3 linked regions of the Lonchura striata genome follow. The protein of the gene in region 1 purifies or fractionates together with the protein of each later gene. This does not show direct contact. Links are inferred from orthologs where the notes say so. Each region holds a gene or a part of one and is shown on either strand. Other genes may lie near its edges. The genes, in order: WWOX, VOPP1 and WBP2.

Region 1 (10,907 bases):
ACCCACCTGAAGGATCGGAGGCTGAGTGGAGGCACAGGTACTGCTCAGTGCCCACTGCTGCATGGTGCCTGCCTGGCCTGTGCCCTCCAGCTGCCTGGGCACCTTTGGGAGCAGCCTGGGTGCAGGACTGGCCATTCCCAGCCAGATTCCCACTGTCTTGCTCTGCTTTGCCTGAGATGGCAACATATGCCAGGTCTGAGGGCTGAGAAATGGCATTCAGAGAATTCCCTCTCCATGCAGGCACAGTCTTGGCAATGTGCTCACTGTACCCTCTTCCAGGCAAGCCAGGAGCTATGCCCACTGGCCATCCTGGCTAGGGGAGGGTGCCACCTTCCCTGCACACCCTGGGCAGCCAGGGGAGCTCTGATCCCAGCTCACTCCTTTCCTGGAGCGTGGTAGTCCAGGGTTCCCACTGCCTGATGCCCAGAGGTTGCATGCCCAGGAGTGAGCCCGGTGTTCAGCCTGCCCAGAGCAGCCCTGCTCTGCTGTCCCTTACCTGGAGCTGCTCATGTTGTCACACCACCGCTTGCTGCAAGCTTGTGCCCAGGCTCAGTCGCATCGGGGAGCAGGGCTGCTGGCAATGTTGGCTCAGTCCCTCAGGTTTTCAGAGGGATCTGAGCACCCTGGCCATCTCTCTGTGCCCGTGCAGTGCCATCTGCCAGCATGACCCGCCTGGCACGCTCCCGCACCGCCTCCCTCACCAGCGCCAGCTCCGTGGATGGCACCCGCCCACGTGCCTGCACCCACTCGGAGAGCACCGAGGCCATGGGGCAGATCAACCACACCATGGAGGTATCGTGCTGAGGTCCACGCCCGCCGCCGACGTCTCCTTCAGAGCCATCTCCCATCCGTCAGCATCCCGCCAGCACCCACCTGCCCCGTGGACACCCTCCACCAGGGCCCTCGCTTCTTTGGGGTCAATTTGTCTTCTTTGCCGTTGGCCTCATCCCCTTGTCTGGTACAGGAGAAGGAGAGGGGCTTCATCCAGCAGTCACACATGGTTCTGCACTGGTCCTCACCCTCCCCAGCATCGGCTTGGCTCCGGCTTGGGAGGGTGGGTGGCAGGGGGACAGGGCCAGGATGGGGTAGCAGGGTCAGGGTGATGAGATGGGGACAGGATGTTGGGGTGGGACGGAATGATGGGGTGGGACAGCACGTGGAGAGGACACAGGAGGTAGGTTGGTCTCTCAAGTTCAACTGATGGCTGCCTAAAAGGAAGACGGGAACAGGGAGCAGCGCTTAAAGGGAGGTCACTGGTCTGTTCTTAGGGATGCAGTTTTCATTTCTCCCTGATGGCCCTCTCTAGGGAGAGCTAGCATGGGATCCCCCAGCACACCCAGGACTTGCTACCCCAGAGCTGGCTGAGCCTCGTGAGAAATCACATCCCAAACTGTCCCTTCGCCCTGGTCATGTACCCTGAGGGCTGCCCTGGGGCAAGTGAAGAGAGGTCAGCCCTACTCCAGAAGCTCTAAGGGCAGGAGGGTGGCATGCGTGTCCCCCTGCCTCTGTCCATGCCCTCACTGGTGGTGGCACTTCCTTCATCCCTTGTTGCAAGAAGGACAATTACTGTCTGCCACCAGAAATGCACTGGGGAGGGGGGAATTGGCTGGCTTGGCCCCTGTCACACTGTCAGTTCCACTTCCAGCTCTTGGGCTGAGCCTGCCAGGGTTCAGAGGCCACTGTTTTAGGGGATGTCACACAGCAAATCCCACCTCAAGTTTTGCCACAACCTGTGGGTGTCATCACCGAGGAGCCATTAGCAATAAGATGAGACACTCCCCCCACCATTCTGGGGAGCCCTCAGCACCCTCTGCCCCACAGGGTGCCTCACCACAAGGTGCTGACACTGTGGGGTGCCCTATGGGATGTGGGGAGCACTCCATGCTCTGTCTTTGCCCACACAGCTGCCAGACCCACCGTGGCTCCCCAGATCCACACCCCAGCTCCAGCATTTTGCCTGCGCGCTGAGCGGGGCGTCTCTCAAGGGCTTGGCTCCCTCAGGGCCGTGGGGCCCCCTCTGGCCACCAACTCCAGGTGGCTCTTGCCTCTTGCACTCGGCACGGAGGCTCCTGCCATTGCACAACCCCAGTGATGGCCACCCAACCTCTGCTGCCGTGCCCAGCCCCTCCTGGGCACGCTGTGAGGCACAGCTAAGGGTGGCCCTGCCTCTGCTGATGGGTGCTCAGGTCTCTGTAGGTGGTCCATGGGGGACCTGAGCAGGGAACCCACCAGGTGCCACCGCCTGGGCGAGCAGAACCAGCCCGCTGAAAGCAGGTCCCACCCAGCCCCACAAAAGCATTCTACCCTCAGAGCCCATCCCTGCTCCCCAGTGAAGGGCACAGAGCTCCTGGGGCTCCCAGCGGGTGTATGAGGGCTTTTGGCCCTGAGACCCATGCCCCACCCAAACCCTCTCATAGTAAAAGGCCACCCCAAAACACCAGTGTGCCCCTTTGTCCCCCACTTTGTTCTGCTGTGTGCTTCCTTCTTGGTGTGACTCTGAAAGCTACGTAGCTCCTTTTTACGGTAGATACCGCTGCGATCTCTTGTTTTCTCAGCGTGTCCTTCCAGATGATATATATATATAAATACCTATACATAATATATATATAAGGGTTTGCCCAATACCTGACCTTTTTGGGTTCACTCCTTGCATTCTTGTCCAAGCAGTGCCGTGTGGTTTCCCTGGAGGTGGTGTGGCCGTGCTCACCTTCAGTTCCTCACCTTGGTTTTGTTGGTTGGTTGGTTTGGTTTTCCCTGGTGGTTTGTTCTTTTGATTTTTGTTGGTTTTCCTTTTTTTCCCAGTCACAGCGGAATTTAACATGTTTTCCTGTCTGAGTGCAGCCTGGTTTTGTCACAGCGGCATCGAGGCCGCAGCACTCATGAGACAGCAATATGTAAACCGGATTTAACTAACCTGTTGCTGTAGAGAGGAGTTACTGTGTTGGAAATAAACCAACTAACTAATAAAGATGTTAAGAACCTGCTGTGCTCTTTACAACATGCTGTAGGGAAATGGGTCTGAGCCCACCTGGGGCCTGCCTGCAGAGACTTGGCAGGCACGGGGAGGACAAGGGGGACACACCTTGGCCACCAGCCCCACTAGTGATGCCCACAGGACCCCAGGGTGCACGTGGGGGAAAGCTGTGGGGTGCTTTGGCTTCAGGGTAGCCATAGCCAGGCTGCCCTGTATGTAAAGAGTGGATGGAAGCTGGAAAGCTGCCAGTTGTAGCCCAGTGAGGTTGGATCCAAGGGGCGCCCACTGGGGAAGAAAAGATCTGTGGCTGCACAACTCTGGGGATGAGCAGGGTCCTTGGGAAACTCAGCTTCCCTGTCCACTGCCAGGGCCCCTGTTTGTCTCCCCATTAAGTGTCCCAGGTCTTAACCCTTTCCAAGTGCATGAAGTCCTGCCTGGGAAGGATCCTGTCCCTGCATCCTAGTCCTTGTGGAGTCTGTCAGTGTCTGCCTTGTGCTGGGTCACTCCAGACTGGTCCCAGGCCCTGCAGAGGGGCCCAGAGCCAAAGCATGGAGACACTGTGGCTGTGTCCACACTCATGGTTCCCTGGGGGAGGCACAGAAAGCCTGGACATGTGGGGGGAATGCAAAGGGCCATGGCTGGGATAGGATGTCAGACAAATGATTTCCACATTCCCACTGAATGCAATTCATGGAGTGCTAGATGCTGAATGCTGACAGACTGCAGTAGGAAGAAAACTGAAAACTCCATATCCCTGCTACTGCTAGATTAAAACTCTGTTCTTCAGATTAAATAATCTATTTTCCTGGGACTTGGCCCATCTCACCATTCAGTTACCTCTTCTTGGACCAGAAGCAAGTGAGTCACTGAAGCTTCCCTTCCCATATATTTACCCAAAAAAAGTATAGTCACAGTTTTTTTTAATACTGCCAGTAATACTCTCATGAGAACAGGCTGTTGATGATGCATGAGTTTTTATTTCTAGCAGGAGATCATTTAGTACGTGTAATCCCTTGGAGGAACCTGCAAAACAATGGGAGCAGCAGGGCAGAAAAAAATTCAGGCTGTTTTTTCTGGCCAGATATGGATGCCATTAGCGGGGAGTGAGGGAACGATATAGGTCAGTGTCTCAAATAGTGCATGAAAATTCGACTTAGAGCCTGCGGTGCATCTGTGAGGCTGCACTGCCATCTGGTGCGGTTTGAAGTGCTCACAGCCTCTGCCCAACGCCGCCTTTGCCTTGTTTTTTGTTTAAAACACCCCACCAAAGGACAACAATGCTGTTACAACCGCTGGCTGTTGGGTTTGGTTATGTAAACAGGAACATGACAGCACACAGGTCTGGGAATCAGAAGCAGCTGAGCAATGGTGCCAGGCACTCCCCCTCCATCTGTCCCAGGTGTACAGGGGAGAGGGCTTCAGCTGCCAGGACAGAGTTACTGCAGGTTTCTGCCAACTCCCTGAATGCTCCAGCCTTAGCAGCCGACTGTGCTGTGTCCCCAGGTGAGCCAGGCTTGGCAAGGGTGACTGTGTTTGTGCCTCCCAGCAGGTGAAGCTGCCTGCAAGGTCCCAGGTGGGTGTTAGCACAGACAGGTACTTCTCTCCTGCCAGGCCTTCCTCAGCAAGGATCCCTCGCTGATGAGGAAGATCTCATCCCCGAGATGAGGTGGGGACAGCTTAAAGAACAGTTCATTTCCCATTGCTGCCCAGGGCCTAGCTGTATTCGCTGCTCTGAAAACAGGGCTGGAAGCACTAAATGCACAAATTCACCAAACTGCTCATATGGGAAGGCACCTTGGCAGATCATCCAGTCCAATCCCCCTTCCAAGGCAGAGTCACTTGCAGCAGGTGGCACAAGAACATGTCCAGGTGTGTTTTGAATGTCTCCAGAGAGGAATTCACAACCTCTCTGGGCAGCTATTCCAGAGCTCTGCCACCCTCCATGTAAAGAAGCTCTTCCTCATGTCGAGGTGGAGCTTGTGTTGTAGTTTCCGGCCATTGCCCCTCATCCCACTGCTGGGCACGACAGAAAAGAGCCTTGCACCACCCCCTTGGCACAGTCTTTGAGATATTTCTATGCATTGATGAGCTCCCCTCTGAGTCTTCTCTTCTGCAGACCAAACGCCCAGCTCCTGCGGTCCCTCCTGACATCGGCTGCTCCAGACCCCTGTGGCAAGCGCATTTCTCTCCCTCTCTGGATTTTTCATAGAGGTGCACAGAGAGAAATGAAAGAGAAAACAATATATATTCCTGCTCCTTGTTTTTCCTATGTGGAATGTGTTTGGAGAATTGTTTAGCTGGGGTGAGTGCTTGGTTGAATTCTGGTGAGGATTGTTTGAGGTCTTGGCCAATCCAACCCACCTGGGGCTGGACTCTCAGAGAGGGTCATGAGTTGTGGGAGGGTTAGAGATAGAGTCAGAGAAAGCAGTATGTAGTTTGAGTATCCTCCTTTTATATAGTATATTAATGTATTTTAGCATAGTTACAATAAAGAAATAATTCACCCTTCTGAATTGAGTCAGACATAGTCATTTCTTCCCATTGGGTTCGCCTGCATTTACAATACCCCTCATCATCTGCGCGCCCTCTGCGGACCCTCTCCTCTATCTCCTGGTGCTGAAGATCCCAGAGCACTCCAGACGTGCCTCACTGGGGCTGAGCAGAGCACCCTAAACCCCTGCCACCCCCGTTCCGCGCTCACCGGGGCGCCCCGCGGCGCCCATGCCCTCGGTGGCCATGCCCGCACCGGGCCGTGAGGCGGAACTACAGCTCCCATGGTGCCGCGGGGCGGGGCGGAAGCGGGGCGCTCCGGCCGAGCGGGCCGCGCCGAGCCCATGGCCGCGCTCAAGTACGCGGGGCTGGAGGACACGGACAGCGAGGAGGAGCTGCCGCCGGGCTGGGAGGAGCGCACCACCAAGGACGGCTGGGTTTACTATGCTAAGTAAGGGCGGGAGCGGGGCGAGCCCGCCGGGAGCGCTGTGGCAGGGTCCGCAGAGCCGCCCCTCGGTGCGGGGCAGGAGCCGCGCCTCACGGGCGGACCGCGGGGCGGGAGCGGGGACGCGGCGCCCGTGCGCGGTGCCCGCTGGTGTGCGGGACGGGCTCCGAGGCTGTGGCAGCCACAGCCACCCTGTGGAATGGTGCCCGAGTGCGCGGTGCCGGTGCGCGCGGTGCCCGAGTGCGCGGTGCCCGAGTGCGCGGTGCCCGTGTGCGCGGTGCCCGTGTGCGCGGTGCCCGTGTGCGCGGTGCCGGTGCGCGGTGCCGGTGCGCGCGGTGCCCGAGTGCGCGGTGCCCGAGTGCGCGGTGCCCGAGTGCGCGGTGCCCGTGTGCGCGGTGCCCGAGTGCGCGGTGCCCGTGTGCGCGATGCCGGTGCGCGCGTGCCCGAGTGCGCGGTGCCCGTGTGCGCGGTGCCGGTGCGCGCGGTGCCGGTGCGCGCGGTGCCCGAGTGCGCGGTGCCGGTGTGCGCGGTGCCGGTGCGCGCGGTGCCCGAGTGCGCGGTGCCGGTGTGCGCGGTGCCCGAGTGCGCGGTGCCCGAGTGCGCGGTGCCGGTGTGCGCGGTGCCCGAGTGCGCGGTGCCCGAGTGCGCGGTGCCCGAGTGCGCGGTGCCCGTGTGCGCGGTGCCGGTGCGCGGTGCCGGTGTGCGCGGTGCCCGAGTGCGCGGTGCCCGAGTGCGCGGTGCCGGTGCGCGCGGTGCCCGAGTGCGCGGTGCCCGAGTGCGCGGTGCCCGTGTGCGCGGTGCCGGTGCGCGCGGTGCCGGTGCGCGGTGCCGGTGTGCGCGGTGCCCGAGTGCGCGGTGCCCGTGTGCGCGGTGCCCGAGTGCGCGGTGCCGGTGCGCGCGGTGCCGGTGTGCGCGGTGCCGGTGTGCGCGGTGCCGGTGTGCGCGGTGCCGGTGTGCGCGGTGCCGGTGTGCGCGGTGCCGGTGCGCGCGGTGCCCGTGTGCGCGGTGCCGAGCCGGCGGCACCGGCCCCGCCGGGGAGGGTCGGCGGAGCCGCCGGTGGGAGCGGCCGGAGCCATCCCGGGGCTGTTCCAGTGCCCTCGGGGCTCCGTGGGCGATCTTTCTGCGTTCTGGGTGAGGCTTACACAATGTTGCAGGTGGGTCGGTTTCTTCTTTGTGGGAACAGAAGAGAAGCAGGTGCGATGGGAAGTTCAACGCTGTGCATGGCGTTCCTCGTCTCTTCAGTGCACCTTGGGCACGAGATGAAGAATTGCGTAGGAATTGCATTTTGCACCTTCTGCCCGTGCCGCTGGACACGATTCCATCCTCCCAGGTTACAAATGCAGGATGAGCTAACTGAGGAGAATATGTGTTTATACACTCTCTCCTCTTGTGTGGTTTCTGTAGCCATGCTCATCTTGGGTTTTCCTTCCGTCTGTTTAAAGCTACAAGAGTTATTCCCTTCCACAACAAGGTGGGAAAGTATGCTTCAGTCTCACTGGTGGTGAGTTCGCCTTGTCCTCCCAGGTTCTGCCCTTATTAACACTGGACAAAATGCTTTAGTTTATCTACACTTTGTAAACACTGCGATTACTCTCTAGGTGTTTGTTTTGCTTAGGTCAATTGATTGTATATTTCCCTTGACTTCAAGAGCCCTGTCAGGAAGGATTCACTTGGTGAAAGTAACAAACCTATGAAATAACAAGGTGTTATTGAGCATAATTGTTACACAGTCAGTTCAACAGGTCAGTTTCTGAACTCTTGTGAAACTGGACTGGTTCAGTTTAACAACATTACATAATATATCTTAACTGTTTTAAAATCTTGCTCAATATGTCCAAAAATATATTAGATGTGAAGAGGTGTTACACTGTCGCTGCCTTTAAGTATACACTCTGTATGTGTGATTTTTCTGCATATTCTGGGAATTTACTTTAAACCTTATCATCAATATGAACTTCTAGCTGGAAAAGATTATTTTAGTTGAAGGCTTTTAAAGGTATTTATGATCACGTAGGTGTGCACACAGGTGGACACAGCCTGTTTGTCAGGCAGCTGTAATTTGCTTAAATATCTCCTATTTTTCTGGTCACACATGTGCACGTGTTTAGTCTCAGCTCCCCAGCTGTGATTCCTCTAATACCATGAGCTGTCACTGTGGGCTTGCTGTAAGAAGGGAAAGTTGCTTATGTTGTGTGTAAATTGCTGTTGGGCCTGTAGGTTATTTGTAATTATTTGTGTGTTATTTATTGCTGTTGTCACTCTTTATTTCACACTTGGGCAGCTATCAATTTGGGCACTCAATTAATCCCTGCCTGACTCTTAAAACTTGGTTATTATTTAAAAATACTCAGTGAAAGATGAGATGGTAATGTCCAACTCGATTTCAGCACTTTGGTTATTTTAAGACATTGTGTATATGCACATGACTTTGCTTATTAGTCTACAGTGCAGAAAATTTTACAATGGAATATTTTAATTCTGTTAGTGATTTAAATGAATGAAGTCTCCTATTTTGAAGAAAAGATAGGATACCATTGTTATGTATGTTAAATAAATATCCTGCTAGTCAAGGTCCTTGGATAAACTTATCTGTCCAAAGATACAATTGCTCATAGAAATCCAACTTACGTATATTATACTCTACAAATCAATATTCTTAGGCTGGAGTTTTAAAAAGGTACCTTTGTAATTTGAAGACTTTCTAATATTAGTATTACTAGCTGGTAATAAATTATTTTCTTGTTCTTTCTTCCTTACTCCTGCCAAGGATCATCATCTTTTTGAGGTGTCTTCTGAGTCTGTTAATGTTATTTTTAAATGTGTTTTTATGTTTGTTTTTTTTTCCTAATAATCAACAAAACCTGGATTGGAAGTCAAACATTTATTTGAATTTTTATAGACTCCTGTGCTCTCTGGTTGATTATTTTCAGAAGTGTGGGGAATATTTTGGGTTACATCAGAAAGCTTATTAGGCAGTTTTAAAAAATCTTAAACTTTTTATTTTCCTGCAGCCACCTAGAAGAAAAAACACAGTGGGAACATCCTAAGTCTGGGAAGAGGAAACGTGTTGCAGGAGGTTTGTGTTAAACTTCTGTAATGAGCTGACATTATCTTACAAACACCTGGTTCCTCCACAAACTCCAACTGATCTCATTTTGATCTTTGAGTTGTCACTGATTCTGAGTGGGTAGAATATGGCTGACTTCAGTGGGGTTTTACCCCTGTGATTGTGTGATGATTTGCAGTTTTATGGCTTTTCTGTATTGCTCCATAAGGCCAAAGTACCAATTCGAGGTTACACAGTTTGTTTTACTGTGGCTTGTAAAGGATATAGTCAAAAGCTGGGGTTCTGTGTTCCTGGTGTCCGTCAGATAATATTTATAGTTGGATAATATTTTTCAAAGAATGTATTTCATCAAGGAGTATCCCTGGCACAGAAAGAAGCCTCATTAGTTCTCATTTTACCTGTTTTCCCCAACCCAGCTGAATATTTGTGCCAGAACAGAAGGCAGGCAGTGTTGCAGGAAAATTCCAGGGGAAAAAGCTTTTCAAGGACCTTGGGTCAGTGCCTTAAATCAGATCTTCCCAGAAGCTTCTGTACCTGGGGACACTACACTGTTGGCAAGCCATGTTTCTTTTGGCATTGGTAATCTGACTATAAGTGGAATGTTTTCACCAAGTCTGAAGTTAATGGAAGTGAAATGAATACTTTCTAGCTAAGGTTAGAAATACTCTGAATGCCATCTGTTAACTACCTTTGTAGACTCTTTGATATAAGAACTTGTTATGTAGAGATTTGTCATTTTCCTTCTATCTATCCTTCCAGCTTCATTGACTCATTTAGGTTTGATTTATTGTATCTCATGCCCACTTGAGGGTTCTGATCTTTCAGCTTTTGGTATGTGTTACACATAACTTTTCCTAAAAAGCTTTTGCTTTTTATTTTAGCAGGGGTAGATACTGAACTGTGAGTAGTATAGATCTGTATGTGCTTGGCAGCATGGTTGCATTTTGCTGTTTTATTTTTCTCTGCTATAACATGAAATAATCTTTATAAAGATTTTTTAGACTGTCTTTATACTTAATCTGCCAGCCATTGCACTTGTACCAGATCTTCTGTGTATTGTATTTCTAGGAGAGAGCAATTGTGTGTGATTAGGGAAGCAAACTTTCTGTCAAGTTCTGAATTCAAGGGCAGCAGGTAGCTGCACCACCTACAGAAAACTATGCAGAATTGTGTCTCATCAGAAATCACTTAAACTTCAAATTGAAGAGTATGCTAATGCCTAAAAATAAAGTTAATGTTTAATGTGCTTCCTAGATCTGCCATATGGATGGGAGCAGGAGACTGATGAAAATGGGCAAGTCTATTTTGTGGAGTAAGTATCTCAAGTTGTGGAGTATGTAGAAGGAGGACAGCTGGGTTACATGCTGAGTAGCCTCCTGAGTTATGATACTGTGACAATATCAGCTGGAAAGACAAAAAGATTAATAAATGCAGCTTCAGAATCCAATATAGACTTGCTATAAGAGAGAATATGATCTTCTCTAATGTAACAAGATTTTTTTTTTTCCCCATGCAAAGTCCTGCCTTTTATGTCAGGGGTTTGCGTGAAGTTCAGAATGGCTTGAGAAGTATGTAAATACAATTATTAATGGATGCTGTCACAACTGGAAAAATGTTTGATTAAAAAAAATAATTGGGATAATTTCAACCAAACTGAAAAAAAAATATTTTTGGGAATCTAAATAATCCACTGGAGTTGTACCCAGCAGTGGTTTAAATACATTTAAAATCTAAATTCAGAGAGCAGAAGGGTTCAAACAGTTGAGTTTTTGTGTTCTTTTGCAGCCATATAAACAAAAGGACTACCTACCTTGACCCAAGACTGGCCTTTACAGTTGAAGATAATCCAGTGAAGCCTACTACTAGACAAAAATATGATGGGAACAGTACTGCAATGGAGATTCTCCAGGGACGTGACTTGAGTGGGAAGG
Region 2 (10,256 bases), on another chromosome or scaffold:
ACACCTATCACCACTTGGAATCTCTGTCTCAGTCCCTTTCCACCCTTGTGCACCACTACTCTGTTTATGGTCACCGTGCTCTGTTGTGCCACGTATTCCTCTTCACAGTCCCACCCTGCTCTGTTTCATCCTCTTGTGGCTTTCAGATCCTCCTGACAAAATCTTACTTGCTTTCTGTCTCTGATTCTGCCTGGCCAAAGACAGGTTTCTTCTTTCACTCTCCCTCTCTCCTATATGTGCAATTCAGCCCTGTCCTCCTCTCCTGGCAGATTTGGTCACCTGCCCAGAAGATCTTTTCTTTAGTCTCTTTAAAAACTGTCTGCAGGCAGGTTGGAAAGTTACTGCTCTAATTTGACAGTGTTTGGTACTCACTATGCTCAGGTCTGAGGCAGTGCACACTACACCTAGATTCAACAGCATGTGTTTAGGCTTCCAACTATCCACCGAAATCAGTAACAGGAGCCCAAATAGGAATTCAAAGCCTAAATGTTTCATTGGCCATGAGCTTTGGTGCTGTAACAATACTCTGAATGAACTTAACCTTCCTTAATCCTTCCAGCAAGCACGTTTGTCATTTCACTGTGGACTGCAAATAAAGAGTTTGCATTTACAAATGATCTATCTTCCAGGAAAAATATAATCCCTCTCAGCTCCTGAGTTCTCTAACACAAAGCATTAAAATCTTTGCTGAGGGGATAAAACTTCATTCTTTATTGAGAAAACTGAATAAAAACGCATTTGATCTGATTGACACAGCTATTCTGGTTCAATTGGGTAGTATGTTTAATCAATAAGCTTTGCTTTTCAGAATACTAATGCTTGTAGTTGCTGCTTCTCAAAATACTGTTTGCTATAGAATTATTTTTTTAATATGATGGACAAATATCCAACTCCATCTAGAAATCCTGAAAGTCACAGTGTGTGACAGTGGGGGTGTTCTTTGGGAGCCCAGGTAGAATAGCTTTTAGAGAACCACCCCACTTTCATTTCTTAGCATATCTGTAAAATGTGTTATATTTTCTTTCAAGTGGACATAGACTTCCAGTGTAGTAGTGACTGTGGCTACCGGGGACTTTTATTTGGAGGTCTCAAAGCATAATCCAGTAAGCAGCCATTCTGTTTCAGTTCAGTGAGGTGTACTTAATGTCATTAGTTGTGGAAAAGTGACTTCTACCTGCAGTTTTCAGATATTGATGAAGAGCAATGGATGTAATAGAGTACTAAAATAAGAATCAGTCACTTTTTTTTTTAATCAGTGCCATGTAGCTCAGTAATATCCTTCCACACAAAAAATAAGTTATATTAGCATTGGAAAGAGGGCTACTACATCTGGGTCATCTCTCTAAACCTCCACAGACTCTTACTGAAATATAATTATTGAAGATAGAGACAATGGTATCAATATGCTACTGAATTTGGAGCAGGTTGTTGAAACTTCAACAAGTCCTGAGTCATATTCCCTTTAAAGTTTCATTTAAAGTCAATCACAATGATTAATTACTGGTGCAAGTGATGAAAAAAAAAATTAGCCTTTATTCTGGGAAGTTGGACTAATATTTAACTATTATTCTGCCAAGAGACTGCACCTTTGTGTAAGCTGCTTGATAGTTAGAAAAAAATGGTGTTTTTTTGTTTTTTTTTTTTTTCTTTAAACACACCCTGGATAAACAAATTGCTTTGAACAAGAAACGGAAGCTGCAGGAATATAACGTTGTGTTTGTCTTGGCTTGCTATTGCTGCATTCATGAATATTTTTCCTACCATTCTTTAAAATTAATAATGCTAGTGTAGTTCTCAACAGATACCAGTGATGATTTTTGAAGGCTTTAGGCACTTCCTGAATATTTTATGTACTTTAAAAGGGCTTTCTTTAACTTCCTGATAAAGGCTATTGCCATTTTCATATTTATAAAAAAACTCCAAGTCCTCAAAATATATTTAAGGTGATCCTACACTTAAAATAGAGAGTTGGGAAAACAATTAAGGATTTGGCTAATTTTTAACAGCACCTGTGAAGAAGGTAGTGAAATATTTTAAATACAAAATTGTAGAGGTAGATAATTATTTACAGTTCATGTAGGGAAGCAAATGAAAAGAATGTATTTGTTTGTTCATAATAAAGTGGTTACCAGCTTCACACACAGCCCTTGTGGAATTGAGTATTTCTCAATAGTATTAGAAACAACAGAATTGTTTCTACAGAAAAAATGAAGTGTTCATACAACTAGTTTATTTTTTACTTATTTAAAAATATTCAACTGTTCAAAATAAATAAGGTCTACAAAATATACACATCTATATGCGCTGTGAGTGCCCCCTAGGAATTTTTATACCTGTTACTCAGTTTGAAAAAGAGAAGTTGACCAAGGAGTGGCAGTCTCAAAAATAATGTATGCTCTTACGTTTCAGGAAAGAGAGGTAGTTGAGTAAAAGAAATATGTTAATATTGGCAAACTCTGCTGAGAGAATTATGGCAATATTATTGAGGAACACCTATGAATCCAGAGAGAAGCAGAATATTATTAATATTTCAGCTGCAGTACAAGCCTCAATCAGGTAAAATAAAGCTTTGTTACTGTCACTGCTCCTGTAACTATTTCATTTCGTTTTAAAATATATATATATTTGTTTCTATACAAAGATTCTGGAAGCTCTGTAGTTTTAAGCTTTTTGAACACAGTAACCGAAGAGAAACTAGAATCAGGATGTGAAGGAAGGGGTTGGTTTTTTAGCTAGAGACCTTGCCTCCCACAAAAGCGTTATCTTGTTTCCCCGTTGTGTCGGGCTGCCTCGCCATCAAGCTGCTGCACGGTGGAGAGAAAGTGTTAATTTCTCGCCTAGACAAGCTCTAAGGGGCTCTGCTGCAACTCGCACTTCTGTTGAGAAAATGCCACACGCTGAGCCAAGTTCATTTGTATTTGAACTCCATTGAAGCTAATGGGCTTTCCCTGGGGATGAAGACGGTTTCTTGGAGCTAGGTATAAATGAAAGAAGACATCAATAAGGGGAGCTAAGTTATGGTTGAAATAGAACATGAAACTGTTTATTTTGAGGTCAGGAGATGTTTTTCTTTTTTCAGCTTATGTTGGCCTGGAAAGAATTTTATAGCTCGGGATATCCATACCTTTATCTAGGCTGAATAATAAACTATGCACTGGGAAGCACATGCTTCCACACTGGATAGCTTCCTCCAGCCCACTGCTGCTTCAATCTCACTCTTGCTAATCTGTCTATTGATTAAAAATTTATAATAATTTCAGCCTTTCTTGCCTTAGCTGAAATCTTTTTTTGAGGAAAAAAAAATTCTAACACTTTCTTAGTTCTCAAGCTAAAGTCAGTAGTGATATATGTGTTAACCAGCAACCAAAATGTATTTAAGAGCTTGCTCTTGCCCGAGCACATTTGACAGTGGGCCATCAGCTGAAAATTTTGGCAGGGTCAGCCTTCAAGTGTGGTAGTGTCTTAGGCTGCAAGACTCCAGGCTTCTTTCCTAAGTTTTATTTATGCTTTAGTACTTTCTCAGTTCTCCCAGAATTTGTGCTGTCTGCCTGTCTTTGGGCTGCCAGAGCACCCTTGCTGGGAAACACAGCAGTGGCACAGAGCACTCGTGCTCAGCACTGACATTCAGATTCATTTGATGTCCCTAAACATCTTTATGCTCTTATTCATCTTCTCTATGAAGAGTCATTGAGTGTTTCCAAAAAGCTGTCTCCTAGGTCATGGAACACAGAAATTAGGAATGAGAAGGGAGTTTAGGGTTAGCCATACATCAGGACAGAGCTCTGAAAACCATCTTTTTCACACTTCTATAAATTGGAGCCTTTTTGAACTGATGCCTATGTTGAGACAACATAAGCTGATCCCTCTTAGGTGATACCCAGTGCAGAACATACCTTTCTCAATATGCCAGATGTAATAAAGTGCAACATTTCAACTGAGATTATATATAGACACCTGTGTGTATAATTGCCTTATTCAGACTTCACTGTTGGACAAAGCGATGGCCATGACATTTCCTTAGGGACCTTCTAGCAAATTCAAGTAGAGATGCAAGCATTCATCTGAAAAATTCATCACACAACTTCAGATTGGTTGGCATCAAACAGAGACAAAAATAAGTATCAAAATGAGTGGCCCTCAAGAAGAACTTGTGCAGGGTGCCTCTGAGCACGCAATGTCATACAGTGTGTGGGAACCTGTATACAGCTACTCCTTACTTAGAGCATATGACCTGGGCCTGAGAGCACATATGATTAATGGTACCAGCTGGAAGATGCTTGTAAACTCACCCAAAGTTCACTGTATGGAAAAAGTAACCAGCTGATGATGTTTTGCTGCAATGTGGCATCAGGAGACAGCAAGTTTCCTGCTTGACTACTATGATGACAGAGAAGTGGTGAACAAAGGAGTTGTGAATTGTGAGGATGTGCTAGTAGTTTTTTAATAGGTAACCCACAAAAGAACAGTGGGAGGTGTATCTCCTTCAGAAATGCTGGTGGGAAAGGTCTGCCATTCAGAGGGAAATGGAGCAGTTCTCCCCCTTATCTATTTTGATTTCCCCCTGAGAATTAAGTTGCTAGCTTACCTACAAAGCAGGAGCAAGAGACCTCTAATCCTCCTAAACTCAGAAAAGAGCTGTGCCTCCCTCCAACTGCATACAGTGTGCAGCTTTGGTAAGGGTGCAACGGGCTTGGAAAAGGAGGCTCAAAGCATCAGGACAAGATGGTCATGATGAAGGAAATACCCAAGGCATAACTACAGCAGCCACCTGCAGCTGGAGAGATCAGAACTGGGGTTGGAGAGCACCTCCACTCCAGTTCAGGATTTGTCATGAGACCTTCACAGGTAGATATCCCAGGGCTGTTACCAAGCATGCTGAGGAAATGACTCCTCTGAAATGCCAAAGGGTACTGCATGGGCAAGGGTGGCTAGACACACAGCTCCTGTTCCCACCCACCAGGCTGGCAGAGGGAACACCTTATAGAATCACAGAACCACAGAATGATTTGAGTTGGAAAGGACTCTCATAGATTATTCCATGGAGAGGGACACCTTCCACTACACCAGGTTGCTCAAAACCTCATCCAGCCCAGCTTTGAACCCTTCCAGAGATAGGGCATCCACAACTTCTTAGGCAATCTGGTTCCAGTGTCTCACCAAACTCACTGCAAACGATTATTTCCATGTCCAACCTAAATCGACTCTCCTTCAGTTTCAATTCAATGCCCATTGGTCTATCTCTACAGATAAAAAAAATCCGTCCTTATATTTCTTATAACCCCCCCTTTAGGTACTAGAAAGCTGCTTTAAAGTGTCCTCAGAAGCTTATGTTCTCCGGGCTGAAGAGCTCCAACTCTTAGTGTTCGTAGGAGAGATTATCCAGCCCTCTGGTCATCTTTGTTGCCTCCTCTGGATTCACCCCAGAAGATCGCTCTTCCCGGGAAGGGGTGTCGTGGTCAGGGGCGACCCGCGGACCGCGCGGCTCCTCGGAGGAAGGAACCCGGCACCGTCCCCTCGGGGCAGGTGCGGGGGCGGTGACGGGGGCAGGGGGGATGCGGGGCAGGGCAGACGCGGAGGCAAAGGCGGGATCACGGATCCGCGCATCCGCCGCCACCGCCCCCTCCCGGCCGGGCAGCGGCCGGGGCGGGGCCGGGGCAGGCCGCTGCTCCGCCCGCCCCCGGCGGCGGCGTCTTTGTGCCTCCCGCCCCAGCACCGCGGGTCTCCACCTGGCCTCGCCCCGACCCTGCTTCGCTCGGCCCCGGCCGCCGACGCTGCCGCTGAGGGGATCAGCGGGTCAGCCCGCCCTCGCCCTGCCGCGGGGCTTCCCCGCCCCCTCCCCGCCCCACCGCCGCTCTACCCCGCCTCGTCCCTCTGCCCCCGGTGCGGGTTACTCGCGGCCGCCTCCCCCGGCTGCCGTGAGCCCGCGGTGCGGCTGCCGCCCGGAGCTCCCCCGCCGTCGGGGATGGCGCGGCCGGCAGCGCCCGTGCGCGCCTGAGGCGGAGGGGCGAGCCCGCCGCCGCCGCGGGAGGAGGAGGGAAAGGAGGAGGAGGAGGAGAGATGAAGCGCTTCCAGCCCGGGGTCGCGCTGCTGCTGTCGCTGCTGTGGGAGGTGAGGTGGGCCGTGTGGGGAGCGCTGCCCTGCCCGGCGGCGGCCGCGGCAGCGCCGGGTTCACCCCGCGGGTCCGCCATCGGTCGCGACCTGGACCTGCGCGGCTGGCGGAGGGGAGCTGCAGCCCGCGCCCAGGCGGGGGGCGTGCGCGGAGGCGATTCATGTTGGGTTCATGTCTTCGCCGGAACGGCCTCGGCTCCACGGGCGGTGCGCGGTCGGGAGTGCGGCGGGGCCGCGGGGCCGGGCTGCGCGGGCCCCGGCGCGGCTGCGGGCGCCGTGGTCACGGGCGTTCGCGGCGGCCGGGCTCGCCGCGTGTCCGCGGTCTTACTGCTGGAGCAGAGGAAGATTATCCGCCGTGTGATGGAGCGGAGTAACGCGGGACCTATACGCAGGGGCACAAGCTGCTGGAAGCTGCCCATTCCCAGCAGAGTGGCAGGCTGTCCAGGGGACGCAAAGCCTACGCCAGTCAGTAAGGGTTAGACGGAAGGCGCGTCTCTTATTTTCATTATTCTCTTATTTGCATTTCGTGGGCAGTGTCCATTGCGAGGTAGGTAGGGGGGCAGCGGTGTCAGCTCCCGAGGAGCCGGGCGGCACCGTGCAGCGTGGTTGAACTTTGGGAAAACCTGGATAGCGCAGCTTTCGTACTTACAACAACCAAACAAACAGTGAACTAGGAGCTTTCATTAACTGCAGGGCGGATTTGCGCTACGCAGTTCCAGACGCATGGAATAGTTTGGATTGGAAGACACTTTAAAGATCGCCTAGTTTAAACCTCCCTCCCGTGGGTTGGGATGACACTGGATGAGTGGGTTGGGAAAGCAGCTCTTTTTTTTTTTTTTTTTTTTTTTTTTTTTTCAGCAGGCAGATGTTTTCTGGGGGCGAGACGTTTTCTCTCGTCTGTGGTTTAACCTTCGGGCTGGGGACGGGCAGGGGGGCAGCAGCACCCCCGAGCCGGAGGATTGCGGCTCCCGGCGGCAGGCTCGGCAGCGAGCTGGAGTCACCGCCGGGACACGTGCGGTGGCAGCGTGCCAGGGTGACTTCGGAAACACCCGTGGGCTTCTCTTAGGCACATCTCTACGTTCATGAAACCCAGAAGCAATGTAGCTGAAAGTGTCCGAGAGGTGAAAGAGCTGTGTTGCCTCTGTGACAGAGCAGTTTAGACAGGACATTAATTAATTTTTTTTAAAAAACGGCATGCCACCAAACTCCATATATGGAAACCAGAGTGCTGGCTGTGTAGCTACTAATTTTGGTAATGGATATAATTAATGAAAATGATGTTTACTACATGTTTATGCCACCTACGTGGATGAATGATTTCTGGTGTGTTGCCCACTGTGCCATCCAGCATCATCCCATTAAAACACTCAGATCAAAATCATTGCTTAATGTAAATAAGCATAACTCTTTACAGGTTAATTGATTTGCATCTCTTTTCCCTGGCTGTAAACCTGGCCTTGGTTCTGGCCCTTAATTGCACTTGACTCCACAGCAGCTCTTCAGAAAGCAGGAATAGCAAAATGTCGATTAAATGAAACAAACACCACCATTTCCCCAAGAGATTGTGTTCATCTGAGACACTGAAAGGTTTCACCCCTCCAGGATCCCTTTGATTAGACGTCTCTGCTCTCTTAACGTGTATTCTGCTGAAAAAGATCATTCCTGACTGCAAAAAGTAATTTGCATAAATCCTCATTGGGTCTAGCCAGTGTTGCTGTTATTTAAGCTTTTGTACTGGTTTTAATTGTGGGTTTTTTCCCCCTTTTTTTTTCTTTTAATCTAGAATGTTTGTTTTGCCATCTGGTTTTGTGGATTTTTTTTTCTTTTTTCTCGGGAGTTCTTACATTGCCTATTAAAATGAGATGCTGTGTAAATAAGGCTGTATTCTACATGCCCAGAAATGGGGTGCTGGGGGTTTAACAAACTTAATCGGAGACATCTGGTTGCTTTGAAGATTTTTGGTGCATGAAACTTTTGATGTCTTCTGGACAAAGTTCTGCACTGGATATTATCTGAAATAACATTGTTGCAATCGTTTTAAATCTGTTTGCAACTCCAACATGATCTTAGTAATTACTGAACAGAGCTGAGAAATATGGTTTTCATTCATCAATTTGCAAAAGGCTCTGACTCTTACCCAGGTACTGTGGGGAGGAACCCATTTAGTCTGCCAGGGCACTATGCAGTAGTTTACCGATTCCAACTATGTTTTCCCTGGGTAGATTACCCAAAATACTTGTAAAATATTTATGTGTTGTGAAACCACTATTTATGGTTATATTGATGAAAGGAATGAACTTGACAATTAAGTATACATCAAGTTCATGGTGGGTGTGAGTTTGGGTGTGGGGAGTGTGTGTGTTCGTATTTTCAGACTGAAGTCTAGTCAGTAGCTGGCTGTGGCAGTCTCTCCCACGAGGAACTGAGGGTTTGCTGTTCCTGATGTAAAGGCAGAAGATGCAGAAGAGGGGCTTGAGGGGCAGGGGCATGTGCTGGTGGGTGGTTTCATGAAGGTGACAAAAGGCATCACCATCAAAGCAGGATTTACACATAAGAAATTGCTGGCTCTTGGTGCTGAAATACCTCTCCTTATTCTAGACAAGCTTGAGATGCACTAATTACAGAAACAGCCAGACCAGTGTGATGGTGGGAGAAGGGAATTAATTTTGAGTTTTCTTGTGTGATGAGGGCTTTTTCAGTGCAACCACAAAGACCATGGTAGTAGAAAAATCTCCAGCCTCAAGACCCAGAAAGCTCTCCTCTGAGAAGACATTATTAGGGGAGAAAAGCTAAAGATGTCCTGTGTTTTGCTCATGACTTAATTGCAGTTGAACAGCTTAACAAGTAAGGTAAAATGAGGTGGACAATTTGACAGGTAATTTTGGTTCTTGCAGGAAGAAATGAAGACTGTTGAATCTTTATCTGTCTTTTTCAAATTAATTTGACTACTTGGAGATAGCAGTGTGTTATTAACTGCAGTTATTTGAAATGCCCTTTTTCACCAGGAGCCTGGATGACTGGTGTACTCACAGTACTGACATCTATGATTTCTTCACTCACAAATAACCAGTAGTCTTGCTTGCTAGCTTGGCTCGTGGTTCTGTCAGCAGAACTGTATTTTGTCTCAGTTGGCTCTCAGTTTTATGGAAAGATTTGAGGAGGTCCTTGAAGTGATGACTGTTTGGGGCATATATATCAGTATTTTCTGCTTCTCTTTAATCAGTGATCCCAAGGGCTTTGGTTGTCTGAGCTTAAATATGACTTTAATGAATAGTGATGTCTTTGGAATAGGCAAAAAATAAAACTAAACAGGCAGTCCCCCCACCTCCTGATAAAGCAAGCTTATTTTCAGCCTGAATGAGGGTACCAGTGTCTCTGTGGGGCTTACATCTCAGACTGAGTGCTTGCTTTCTCTCTCACAAGCTGTAGCAGTGCTGGATGGAGGAGAGCTCAGCAGCTGAAGCTCAGCTCAAGGATGGGGAAGCTGAACAGAGCTGTTGCAGGCCTATAGAGGACCCTATCTGTGCTACAGTGGTAATAATGGTGTTTTATTGTTGCTGCTGCAGAGAAGCTTGCTGGGTAGCCTCAACTTTCAAAACTATCAAATAATTTTAGATGCCTACACCTCTGGTTGGCTCCTATGTTGTATCCAGGAGAGTCTAGTGATCAGTAGAGTCCTCTTGTTAATTTGTCAGATGAAAGATACTATGCAAGAGTCAAGTGCCTTTTTTAAAAAGAACAAGAAAATGGACATGTCATAGGAATGGCAAAATGTGTTGTCTTGAAAGAAAATTCAAATACTCCCGACAGTCTGTCATACAAGATTTGTTTTAGTAACAGCAAAGTTGGCTGGTACTCCTCAGTTGGTTAACTGCTGTATTGAGCTTTTTATTATTATTCTTGTAAGTGGGCTTCAACATGAAAGATTTTATCAAATCAGAGAAACCAAAAATTTCTGTCCTTCCTGAAGAGGTTTGTTTCTAGTTTTTCTTTGACTGTTTGTGTTTTGGGTTTTTTTTGGGTTTTTTTGTTTTTTTTTTTTTAGTCTTTGTAGGAACGAGAATGTTAAGATGAGGAAACCCACCAGTCTTAAAGAAAAAACCTACATTTTAATAATTTTTAAATTATTAGGTAGCACAGTTGGAGTT
Region 3 (10,779 bases), on another chromosome or scaffold:
AAGAACTTCCTTGGCCATCCTCTCTGTTTGGTATCCACCAGTGGCTCTCACATGGCTGCACTTGCTGGGGGATGCCTGTTTGTAGCTGTGGCATACCTGGCTGTTCTCTATTCTTAGGGTCTCTCTCAAGTGCATTTATCATATTTGCCTGAAATATGCTTTTATGTGAGATTTCCTTACCAGCAGTCTGTCAGGTGGATCTCCAATGCCTGGTATCACAGTTGAGCTCATCAAGCAGCCCCTCTGCCCTCTCCTCTGCCCAGTTACCTCTATTCATCCTGCTTATGGGACTGTCAGCTCTTTCAGCCTTTCATCCTCATTGACTGCGATTTGCCATGGGACTTAAAAGCAAGGGGACAGAGTGATGGGAAAGGTCAGAAAGGATCATGCTCATCATCAAAGGCTGGGGCAGGGAGGATTTCCTTGCATTTCCCTCTGCACACTCACTTCTTCCTCTTTCCCCACGCAGTTGCCTTCATCATCGACCTGGACAGTGACACAGCTGACAAATTCATCCAGCTGTTCGGCACCAAGGGGGCCAAACGGGTGCTGTGCCCCATCCCCTACCCGGAGAGCCCCACCCGCTTCATCAACTGCGAGCAGGTGCTGGGTTTGAACCTCATGAACAGAGGCAACTACTACTGGGAGGTGGAGCTGATCGACGGCTGGGTCAGCATCGGGGTCATCGCCGAGGACTTCGACCCGCGGGAGGCCTACAACCACGGCCGCCTGGGCAGGAACGACAGGTCCTGCTGCCTGCAGTGGAACGGCCAGAACTACGTGGCCTGGTTTGGTGGCTTCGAGCACGCCATCCAGCAGCCCTTCTTCCACACCATCGGCGTCTTCCTGGAGTATTCCGAAAGGGCTTTAACCTTCTATGGAGTCAAGGATTCCAAAATGACCTGCCTGCAGCAGCTCAAGGTCTCCCCTTCCGCCAAGGGGAAGCTTGACCCGTTCCAGAGCAAGATCAACCACCAGTTTGCCTCTCTTTTCTCGTGCAAGCTGAAGCCAGCCTTCTTCCTGGAGAGCGTGGATGCCCACCTGCAGATCGGGCCGCTGAAGAGGGATTGTGTGTCGGTGCTGAAGCGCCGGTGACTGCCCGGGGAGAGGGGCACGGACAGAGCCACAGAAATCTCTCCTGCAGGCTATTGCCACCTCTCTTTGGTAGCCCTGTCTGTCTCTGTGGCAGCCCTCTCTCCTCTCTGCACTGTTGGGCACTCAGGGCTGGATGGAGCCTCCTGATGGGCAGGGCTGGGGGCCAGGATGGGGCTGGATCCCAGTGCCAGCTGTGCCCCTGAGTGAGCTTGGGCCAGTCCCTGTGCTGCTCCCTGCCCCTTGATTTCCCTTTCTGGACATCAGGGACTGCCACAGCCTTTCTTGGTAAAGTGTGCTGCTTGGAAGTGCCACACGGATTTAGAGCTGTGCCTTGGCCACCTGCCCAGTCCCTCTGCTTCACCTCTGCTCGCTCTGCTCCGGCGACTTGTGCAGATGCTTTGTGCCTTATCTCAGGCTCTGTGCTGATGCTTTTTTAAGTGCTGCCTCATTGACACCTTCTGCATGCTCCTCGTGAAGTGCCTTTGATGGAGCAAGCCCTGTGTGGCCCAGGTGAACCCCCAAAGCAAACGTGGTCACTTCCCATCCCCTCTGTGCCCTGGCATGGGAGAGATGGTGCTCCAGGGAGAGGGACATGGAGGAGCCTGGCTGGGTTTTGGGGTGATGCTGGGGTGATGCAGCACCTCTCCTTGCAGGGCTGCCCACCATTAGTGCTGTAAATGTGAAACAAGGATCTCTGCCCAGCTGGGAAAGGGAGAAACCTCCTGCTGAGAAGCAGAACCACTGTTCCCACCTGGAGATGGGGAAGGGAGCAGCACAAACCAAGTCTTGAGGATATACTTTAAGTAAACACATTCTTTGGTAACTCTTAGCAAAGCTTTACAGCCAAATTTTCCCCCATGTTTTTGATGGCACTACTGTTCTGGGGGATTTTAGTACTGTTAAATGACCAACTCTTCAAGAGCCCTGGGCACACTTGAGCTGAAAATCTGCCCCTTAGCTTAGGGATTTTTAAATGACAGAGGTGCTGTGAATATGTCCCAGAGATAAATGGTCTGGTTTTAGTGTTGTAGGACAGCTGTGAGTGCCTTGATAAAGGTGCAGCATCAGTCAGCTACTAAATGACCCTTTGGACTCTGGGAATAAGTAACAATTAACAAAAATTACTCTCAAATGAGAGGGAACACTGTTCCCTTCAGGAGAGGTGGAAACTCGAGGCTGAGAGACAAAACTGCCAGTTCACATGTCCTAAGGGAGCTTTTTCAGAAGGAAAAAGCACAGAGCAGCCCCTGTCTCAGCACAGCATGCCTTTCCACAAGTTTATTTTTTCTGGGTTTATTTTGCTACCTACCTCCCAAAGCTTGCTTTACAGAACCGTGGTGCTGTATAATGTACACCTGGAGAGAAAATACAGAGGGTCAGGTTCTTCACTGGCATGAGTGAGTCAGGGATGATGCAACAACCAGCAGGAATAACAAGCAGCCCATTTAGCTAAATATATGATATATAGATTTTTTTTTTTCCCAAAGGATAAGCTGAAAATCATAGTGCTATATTGAAGTGGAGCCAAGGGAAAAATGTGAATAAAAGGCAGGCACAAATCTGGGAGGTTTGCAGTTAAAGCCACGTTTACATGCTGAGGCTCAAAGAGCTCCTTTACTGTGACTCCTTTGCCAGCGTTGCCAGATTCTGCTGGTGCAGAAAGAGCTGCCAGTGCCCTGAAAATTAGGATATTTTAGTGGATGAAGGGTCTGAAAGCAGCCACCCCTTCCCCAGGACAAGGCTGATGAGTCAGTTTGGGAAGGGGCTTGCTGGGATCTGTCTGCAAATTCCTCCTCCTCCTCCTCCTTCTCCTCCCCTGCAGGAGGTTACTCCTAAACTGCTGCGAGCAGTGGGAAAAGGAACAGTAGGGCTTCCAGAATGAAATCTCCAGCTGAAATCTTGGCCTTTCCTGGCTGGTGGGAATGCTGCCCAGACTTCTGTCTGGATGGGAATTCATTCCCTGCGTCCTGAGCTCCAAACCCTCTTTGTTTGGCTGGCGCCAGCAGCCCCTGCAGAGCTCAGCCCTTGCACGAGATGTCAGCGGTGACACAGAGCAGGCACGGGGGCAGAACGTGGTGTCAGAGTTCCTGATGCAAGGAGAAAGGCAGAGCAGTGCCACAGCCTGTGCACAGTCACATCCTGGCAGGACAAGGAAGGGAAGGAGCCTTCATCGCTGCAGGAAGAGATCTCCCACGTGGGCCCACGTCTGCACCCTAAATCTCATTTATTCAGGCTAAACTCCCACAGTTTGCAGCGAGGAGCTATGCCAGAGTAAACACAGCACATCTGGGTCTTTGCCCTGTTTTGTTTCTCTGTAGGAGGATTGATTGCTCCAAGGGGAAACCCACACTGGAGCCACTCATCCCACCCCTCTCCACTTTCCCAACTCGGACACAAACCTCTGGCCTCCTTCAGGGCTTGGGAAGCTCAGAGGGATCTTCTCTTTCCACCCTGTCACGGCGTGGGAGCAGCTCAAGAAGCCCCTGGGGTGTCTGGCCATGGTGTGTGGTTGTGCTGCTGCTTTGGGTGGGTTCAGGGATGCAGCTCCACGGAGCATCCTGGGGGCTCCTGTGGATGTGCCGCAGTTGGGAAGTGCTGCCCAAGCCTCTCTTTCCTGCTGCTTGCTTTTATCCTGGTTGGGAGTGCTGAAAACCCTCCTGGTTTAGGGATGGTTTAAAATAGGAGCAATCCCCTCAGGAGTTGGGTCAGAGTGTGCTCTGTGCTGCCAGGAGTTTGTAAACTGGAAGGATCAGGGAACGTGCACTGCGCCAGCTCTGGATCCCTGATCTTGCTGTAAGCAAAGGGTTAAACACAGGGTGAGATGAGTTGAGATGGGCCGACAGCACTTTTAGCAATTTAATCAGCCTTTCCTTGTTCCCTTGGGTTATTTCTGCTGTCACAGAGTGTTCCTCTTTTTAATTAGGATTTTTTAAATACAGTAACTGTAGGGTGTTTTACAGTGCGTGAAAAAACTGTAACAGAATAATATAATGGTGTTAGAGACTATGATTTGACCATTAAATATGATACAATCATTGCCCTGGGTTGTCTTTCCTTTAAATACCAAACCATTTGACTTGTCCCATTATCTTATGTTTATTTTTCTGTGTCCTGTACATCTGGCATAAAATAACGCAGATTTTATTTTCTAAGTGTGTCCAAGGGAATTCTGCCATATACACATTTTTATTGCAGAAGGAGCGGAAGAACCTTAAAATCCAATAATAATTGGCAGCCCTGGGCAATTCAAAACAATGAATTGTCTCAGTTCTCTCTTATATGTCTGTCCTCATCCTACAAATAAAAAAGATTATCAGATTAGGTATTTTTTCCTTAGTGTTTTTAAGTTTTAGAGTATAAATTTCCAGGGTTTTCTGTGTGATGAGGAGGTCTAGAGCTTCACACACACACAGGCAATTACAGCAAGCATCTTTGTAAAGTGAAGCCTGCTTTTCTTAATCCCAAATGTCAACTGGAGTTAGGATAAAAATGTTACTTGGTGAGCCTTAATTCATGTGAGGTGCCAATGCTCCATCTGGGCGTTTCAGTGGAAGCTGAGTGGATTCTGCTCCTGACTTTAATAGGAGAAGAATCAGAACTGTTTGTTATGGCTGTTTCTTAAAAGGGAAACTTACTGCTTATTAAAAAAGCGGATATGAAAAGCACAAACTTGTCATTTTCCTGCCAAGAAACCATACAGATTATGTCACTGCATTTATTTAAATCTGGTTTCCATTATGTCGTTTTTGTGCTTTCCCCCACTGCTCGCATCTGGTTCTCAGGCACTCAGACAGAACTGGGCTGCAAATCCAGGGAATAGCTCAGATCCATCTAAAATTATATAATAAAGGGTGATACATCTCTGATTTGTATATTATTAATATACAGCTGTCAGTTATTGATCTTTGGGAGCCCTTCAAACAAGTTTGCAGGTTCCTTTTTTAAATGAAGTTGTGCAATCATTACTTTTTTTAATTCCTCCAACTTGCACACCTGAAGGTAAAGAGTTTAGACCCATCCTGCAGATGCCACAGCTATTTTCTTGCTCCCAGATTTCTGACAGACACACAGACACGATCTTGGCTTGTTTACAGGGCAGCTGGTTAGTCTTTCTAGTTTAATACACTTCAGTATAAAGGGATTATTTTGGATGTGCTTGATTCCATCACTGAAAGCAGCCAACAACTGGATCAAAAATCTGTTTGCAAGTGTGCAAAACCAGGAAATGCACATCAAGTGGGAATTTAAAAAATTATGGGAAATGAAGCATCTTCGCCGTTTAAGGGGATAAACCTCATTTCACGTGCAGAACCGCCAGATATCCGGGATTATTTTTATTTTACGCCACCAATTATAGAGAGACAGTGCCAGGCCCTGAGGCGGTGAGGTCAGCCTACAACTCCCAGCATGCACCGCGTGGCAGACATGGAGAGTGTAAATGCCGCGCATGGACGGACTACAGCTCCCGGAATGCTCCGCGCGGGCAAATGGCCGGGCGCTAAGGTGGTGTGAGGTGGACTACAACTCCCAGCATGCACCGCGCGGAGAAAGATAAGTTATCCGCTCCATAGATGGCGGTGACTACAACTCCCAGCATGCCCCTCGGTCCCATTGACGGCGCAGCTTTTCCCGCGCAGGCGCAGAGCGGGGTCGATGCTGTGAGGAGGAGGAGGAGGAGGAGGCGGCGATGGCGCTCAACAAGAACCACTCGGAGGGCGGCGGCGTCATCGTTAACAACAGCGAGAAGTGAGGTGCTATCCCCTTCTCCCCTCCTCCGGCTTCGGGAGCCGGGGGATAGCGGCGAATTGCCTTCTCCCCCCGCCCTCCTCTTGCCTTCCCTCAGGGGGAGCAGTTGTGTGGGTCATGGCGGGGCGTGCTGAGGGGGCGAGGCGCGTAAAGGGGGTGGCTTAACCCTCTCGGTGCCGGCGTTCCCCCCTCATCTCCCTACGGCTTAGGGGCTGTACGCATCCTCCTGCCCCAGGGCCTGTGCGAGGGGAGCTGCTGGGCTTCAGCCGCGGGCCTTGCCCCTCTGCACCGCTTCCCTCAGCATCCAGCCTGTCCCCCAGCCTGCTGCTGGCTCTTGCTGCTGTCCCCGGGAGGGCTCAGGTGATCTGGCTGGGCCCAGGCCTCTCCCCGCTCGGCGGGGCTGCAGCTGCACCGTGCCTCAGCTCAGGGGCTGCCCGCCCCGGGCTCCTGGAGCTCAGCCCCCGTTCTGTGTGTGCGGGAGGCAGCAGCAGCCTTGGGAAAAGGTGCTGGGATATAACCATGGAAACGGCAAGGCTGCACAGAGCCGCCTCTGTCTGCACGGCAAAGGGCTGTCCGCAGCCCTGTCTGCCAGCGAGCTTCTGACGTGGCAGGCATCTGCTTCGGGGACAAAGGAGTGCTTCATCCTCCAGCCCTTCCTTCCACGGGGCTGCTTAAACATTGGTGTGGGAATTCTGTGCCTGGCTTCCACTTGGGATGTGGCCTTTCTTAGAAGGATCAACTCAGGTACTTAGATATGCATTCCCTGAGAGAACTGCAGCAGCTGAAGGGGTTGCTGTTCCCAGCTGTCAGCCTGCCTTGCACCAGGGCCTGCCTGCTGATCCAGCTGAAATGCTGCAGCCAGAACAGAGCTGGTCCCACTGCCCTTCCCGAGCTGTTCTGGAGGGACAGGCATTCACTGGCAAATGACTGAGGAAACACATCAGCTGCCAAAGATAGAGGTGGTGGAGATTTCTGCAGCTTTAGGGATTAGAGTCCCTAATGTGGGTGCTGTAATGTCAGTACAAGTTACCTGCCATGTCCGTGCAAAGGTTTTAATCAGGTCAGTTTGTAATTGAGAATTAAGGAATCAGTGCAGGCAACACAAGTTAATGAAGTCTTGTGGTGAGGAAGGGGAGTTCTTCTGGATCACATTTTTGTGTCAGAGGTGCTTGAGACCTTCAACAGCCGTGTTACATAAGCCAGCCTGGGCATTTTCTTCTCCTGCAGTTCTTCCTCTGTCGTGTCACTTGTGGGCAACTGAATTAGGGAACTGATCCAGCAGAAATGTGAAACAATTTAAAACAAAAAAAAAAAAAAGCCCTTGAGATTTTGATCAGCTCAATTGACCAGGTTTGCTGCCTGCTTGTGCAGACAGCAGCAGCAGCTGTGTCAGCACACTGGGAAGGGAACAAGCAGCCAGTGCTACTTCAGTTGCTGCTGCCAACAACAACAACCAAAAAAAGGCAAACCAGAACTGAGTCTGTCTGCTCAGCATCTCCCTCAGTGCTGAGGTTACAGGTGGTTTTGGTAGGTCAGTAAACTTCTGTGCATGCTGCACTTGTGCCTGGAGCTGTAACTGCTGTCTCTGTGTCACTTGTGCAGTGTTTTGATGACCTATGACCACGTAGAAATCACCTTCAGTGATCTGGAGCCGATGCCAGAGGCCTTCAAGGGCACCAAGAAAGGGAGTGTTTTCCTGACTCCCTACCGGGTAAGTGGAGAAAGGCTTTATCTCATCTAAGGAGATAACAGCCCTGGAGTCTGTTTAAATGTCCTCAGTGTATAAAAGTCAGGATAATCTACTCCTGCTTGAAGTGTGGCTCATCCTCTCCCACTGGGAAGCATTGTGAATTCATGGTGTATCCCATCTATTTGTCAGCAGATAATAAATCTGATTAGTTCTTGTCCAGGCAGCTGTTTAGTCCATCGGGCATCTTCAAACTGGAAATTAGCAGTGGTCTGGAAATGCTGAATGCAGCAGCACAGCTACTAAATCATAGCTGTGTGGGGCAGCAGGTTCTCAGGAAGCTGGAAGGAGCATTACCTGAGCAAGGGACTTCCTGGAAGGCTTTAGTACTTTGAGGATTTGGTTTACCCCTGTGGCTGCTGTGTGTAGCTTTTGGCTTGTGGAACTGGTGATATTGGAGTGAGTTTCAGTCCATGGAGAAATCTGTTCATGAAATAAATCAGGGCTGTGTTTCCTGTTTGTTTTGACTAGCTCTTTTCATGTTATTTTCTTTCAGGTTATCTTTGTGTCAAAGGGGAAGGATGCTATGCAGTCATTTGTGATGCCCTTTTATTTGTTGAAGGATTGTGAAATTAAGCAGCCAGTGTTTGGAGCAAATTACATCAAGGGCACAGTGAAGGCAGAGGCAGGAGGTGGGTATCACATAATGGATGTTCTGTGTCTCAGTTCAGCTGCTCACTCATAGCAAAATCCTGGCTAACCAAACCTTGACACTGTCCAAATGGGTTTTCACACTCATGTGAAAATATGTTTCTTTCACTGGCAGCTAAAAACATTCCCCTTACCAGCTCCCTGCTCAGCTACAATGAGCAGATGTGCTCTGCAAACCATCTCATTTCTGCCCTCTGCAAAATACAAAATTCAATCAAACAAGTGATCTCAGCAAATAAACACCAGAGTGGAGTCAGCAAGAATGAAGATGTCATTTTGCTTTGGTCACTTGGGATCACCTATCCCACCTGCATCCAGGTTCTCCTGTGCCAAAAACTCAGATCCTTTCTGCTCTGTTTGGGTTCAGGTGCAGACCCCCAGAGCCCTTTCTCCATTGTGTTTCTTGTGCAGTTCAAGGGCAGGTGTGGTATTGCTGTAGTGCATCCTGGCAGTGAAAATGGCACTTGGAAGGGAATGGATTATCTTGAAATTGGGGAATTTAAGGAGCTGTTTCACATTAAACTCAATGAGAAGGCTGTGGCAGACATTTTCAAAAATAATTTTGGTTTTGACTGATTTTTTTTTACCAAAGGCACAGAGTTCAGCAAACTTTCATCCTCAGCTTGATTCAGTCTAACAGTTGTGGCACAGAAATCACAGCACAGGGTGTAAAAGCCTTCAGCTGGAGTTCTGAAATCAGCTTTGTAGCCTCTGCATGGGAGCTGAGTGGGACCATCCAGCATGGGAGGGAGCCTGAGCATTAATGACAAACTAAACTGTGTGAAAGGCAAAAGGTTTTAGCTAGATCTTCATTAATTTTCCCCAGAGGCCATCTCCTTTAATGATGATGTTGTCTTAACAGCCATGAGAGTCTGGTTTAGCTTAAAAAGCTCTTTAATCTACTTGTGTCTGTTTCAGCACAGCTTCTGCTTTGATGCTTTCTTGGGACTCTGGACTGTGCATGTTTTTCTTTTTTGTACTGTAATGTGAGATGGCACTAATTTATTTGTTTTCTGATTTTTTTTATCCTGACTTGAAATATCTTCCATGGGCTCTAATGGATTTATGTGGACTATGTTTTCCATTAAGTTCTTTGCTTTTTTGGGCACTCAGACTCCCAAACTAATTTGGAGCTGACAGGTGTAGTTGTAGAGGCTTTTTAGCAAACAGGATTAACAAAATCCCTGCCTTCTGCACTAATCTTATCCAAAGCAAGAGCAAATCCAGCACTCCAGACAGTTTGGCCTCTGACAGCTACTGTGGCAATAGCCACAACTCCAGAAAGCTTCTGAAGCTCTCCCTCATGGATGTTTCTGCTTCAGGTGTCTCTTGACCTGACAATACCCCAGTGTGAATTTTTCTGATGATACCATAATTCTCCCACTTTCTCTGCTTTTTTTTTTCTTTTTTAATTTGGATTTTTGGGATAAGCTCTTTTAAGAATTATATACAGAGCATCTGTAGGTGCAGCATGTAACCTAAATAGCATGGAAATGGTTTCTCCTTCGTGCTGTCTTTCCTCCCCCAGGTGGCTGGGAAGGATCTGCCACATTCAAGATGACCTTTTCAGCTGGGGGTGCAATTGAATTTGGGCAGCGGATGCTGCAGGTGGCATCACAAGGTATGGAAGGCTGGGGGTGTCTGCCAGAGTTCTGTGGTTTCAGGAGCCCTTGCCTGATGCTTGATTTAAAACATACTTTTCTCAATCCAACGAGCAGCAGATTTATTGGGATGACACTTATTTGTTTTTCTGATAAGGTCTCTCTAAGTTTGTTGGAGTTGTTGGCCTGCTTTTGAGGCAGGCTTGATGTTCTGATGAGTCTTGTCTTTGCTTTCCCAGTCTCCAGAGGTGAAATACCCAGTGGAGCTTATGGCTATTCCTACATGCCAAATGGATCCTATGCTTTTGCACCACCTGCAGCTAATGGGGGCTATCCATACCCACCTCCTCCTCCAGGTAAGCCTGGCAACTGAGGCTGGGGGTTATTCCAGCAAGGAAGAGTTAAAATAGGTAAAAAGGGCAAGAAAATCAGATTTTACTCAATGTTTTAGTGATGACTTGTGTAGCTTTTTTTCCTGAGTTGAATTACATTTGCCTTGGCTTCTTTTGGTTGAGAACTCCACCCAGAGGAGTTAAGCCTCTTGCTGTGTGATCTCCTTTCCTGACAGACTTTTATCCTGGTCCTCCTGCAGCCGCTGGAAACATGGGCTACATGCAGCTTCCACCCCCTCCATACCCAGGGCCCATGGAACCCCCCCCTGTCAGTGGCCCAGACCTGCCCTCCACTCCTGCAGGTAAGGAGCATGTCCAGGTGAATGAACTCACAGCAGTTGTGTTAGGGATGAAGCAGACTTTGTTTCTTGTCTTTTGGGGAGCTTCGAAGCTCCACTTAGAAGTTGAAGTTTGTTTAGAAAAGGGATTAGGGAGCTCCCCTAATCTCCAGCCTTGCATGTCCAGCTCAGTCTAGAGTCCAGCCTGATTCTCTTCAGGGTAGACACCATTAGTGGGCATTTTACAGATGGATGTATTCTTCTGACAG

What was found.
Region 2: the proteins of WWOX (region 1) and VOPP1 purify together in Homo sapiens (affinity purification with mass spectrometry; 3 studies listed by BioGRID and IntAct, with this or other methods). This does not show direct contact. The link is inferred for Lonchura striata from reciprocal best matches to the Homo sapiens genes WWOX and VOPP1.
Region 3: the proteins of WWOX (region 1) and WBP2 purify together in Homo sapiens (affinity purification with mass spectrometry; 3 studies listed by BioGRID and IntAct, with this or other methods). This does not show direct contact. The link is inferred for Lonchura striata from reciprocal best matches to the Homo sapiens genes WWOX and WBP2.

What each region holds. Positions count from the first base shown.
Region 1 is NC_134615.1:17,594,444-17,605,350, forward strand, and holds the start of WWOX (WW domain-containing oxidoreductase), read left to right. Parts: upstream 1-5,779; 5' UTR 5,780-5,808; coding exon 5,809-5,915; intron 5,916-8,920; coding exon 8,921-8,985; intron 8,986-10,230; coding exon 10,231-10,288; intron 10,289-10,761; coding exon 10,762-10,907. Other genes in the region: protein NDRG4, read left to right, coding at 1-37, 650-804. UniProt on the Homo sapiens protein: Putative oxidoreductase. Acts as a tumor suppressor and plays a role in apoptosis. Required for normal bone development. May function synergistically with p53/TP53 to control genotoxic stress-induced cell death.
Region 2 is NC_134603.1:105,251,950-105,262,205, forward strand, and holds the start of VOPP1 (WW domain binding protein VOPP1), read left to right. Parts: upstream 1-5,930; 5' UTR 5,931-6,057; coding exon 6,058-6,108; intron 6,109-10,256. UniProt on the Homo sapiens protein: Increases the transcriptional activity of NFKB1 by facilitating its nuclear translocation, DNA-binding and associated apoptotic response, when overexpressed. May sequester WWOX in lysosomal vesicles and thereby regulate WWOX role as tumor suppressor.
Region 3 is NC_134621.1:4,387,398-4,398,176, forward strand, and holds the start of WBP2 (WW domain-binding protein 2), read left to right. Parts: upstream 1-5,719; 5' UTR 5,720-5,782; coding exon 5,783-5,841; exon of another isoform or gene 5,842-5,846; intron 5,847-7,443; coding exon 7,444-7,552; intron 7,553-8,084; coding exon 8,085-8,220; intron 8,221-9,767; coding exon 9,768-9,860; intron 9,861-10,079; coding exon 10,080-10,196; intron 10,197-10,408; coding exon 10,409-10,534; intron 10,535-10,779. Other genes in the region: E3 ubiquitin-protein ligase TRIM47, read left to right, coding at 470-1,095. UniProt on the Homo sapiens protein: Acts as a transcriptional coactivator of estrogen and progesterone receptors (ESR1 and PGR) upon hormone activation. In presence of estrogen, binds to ESR1-responsive promoters. Synergizes with YAP1 to enhance PGR activity.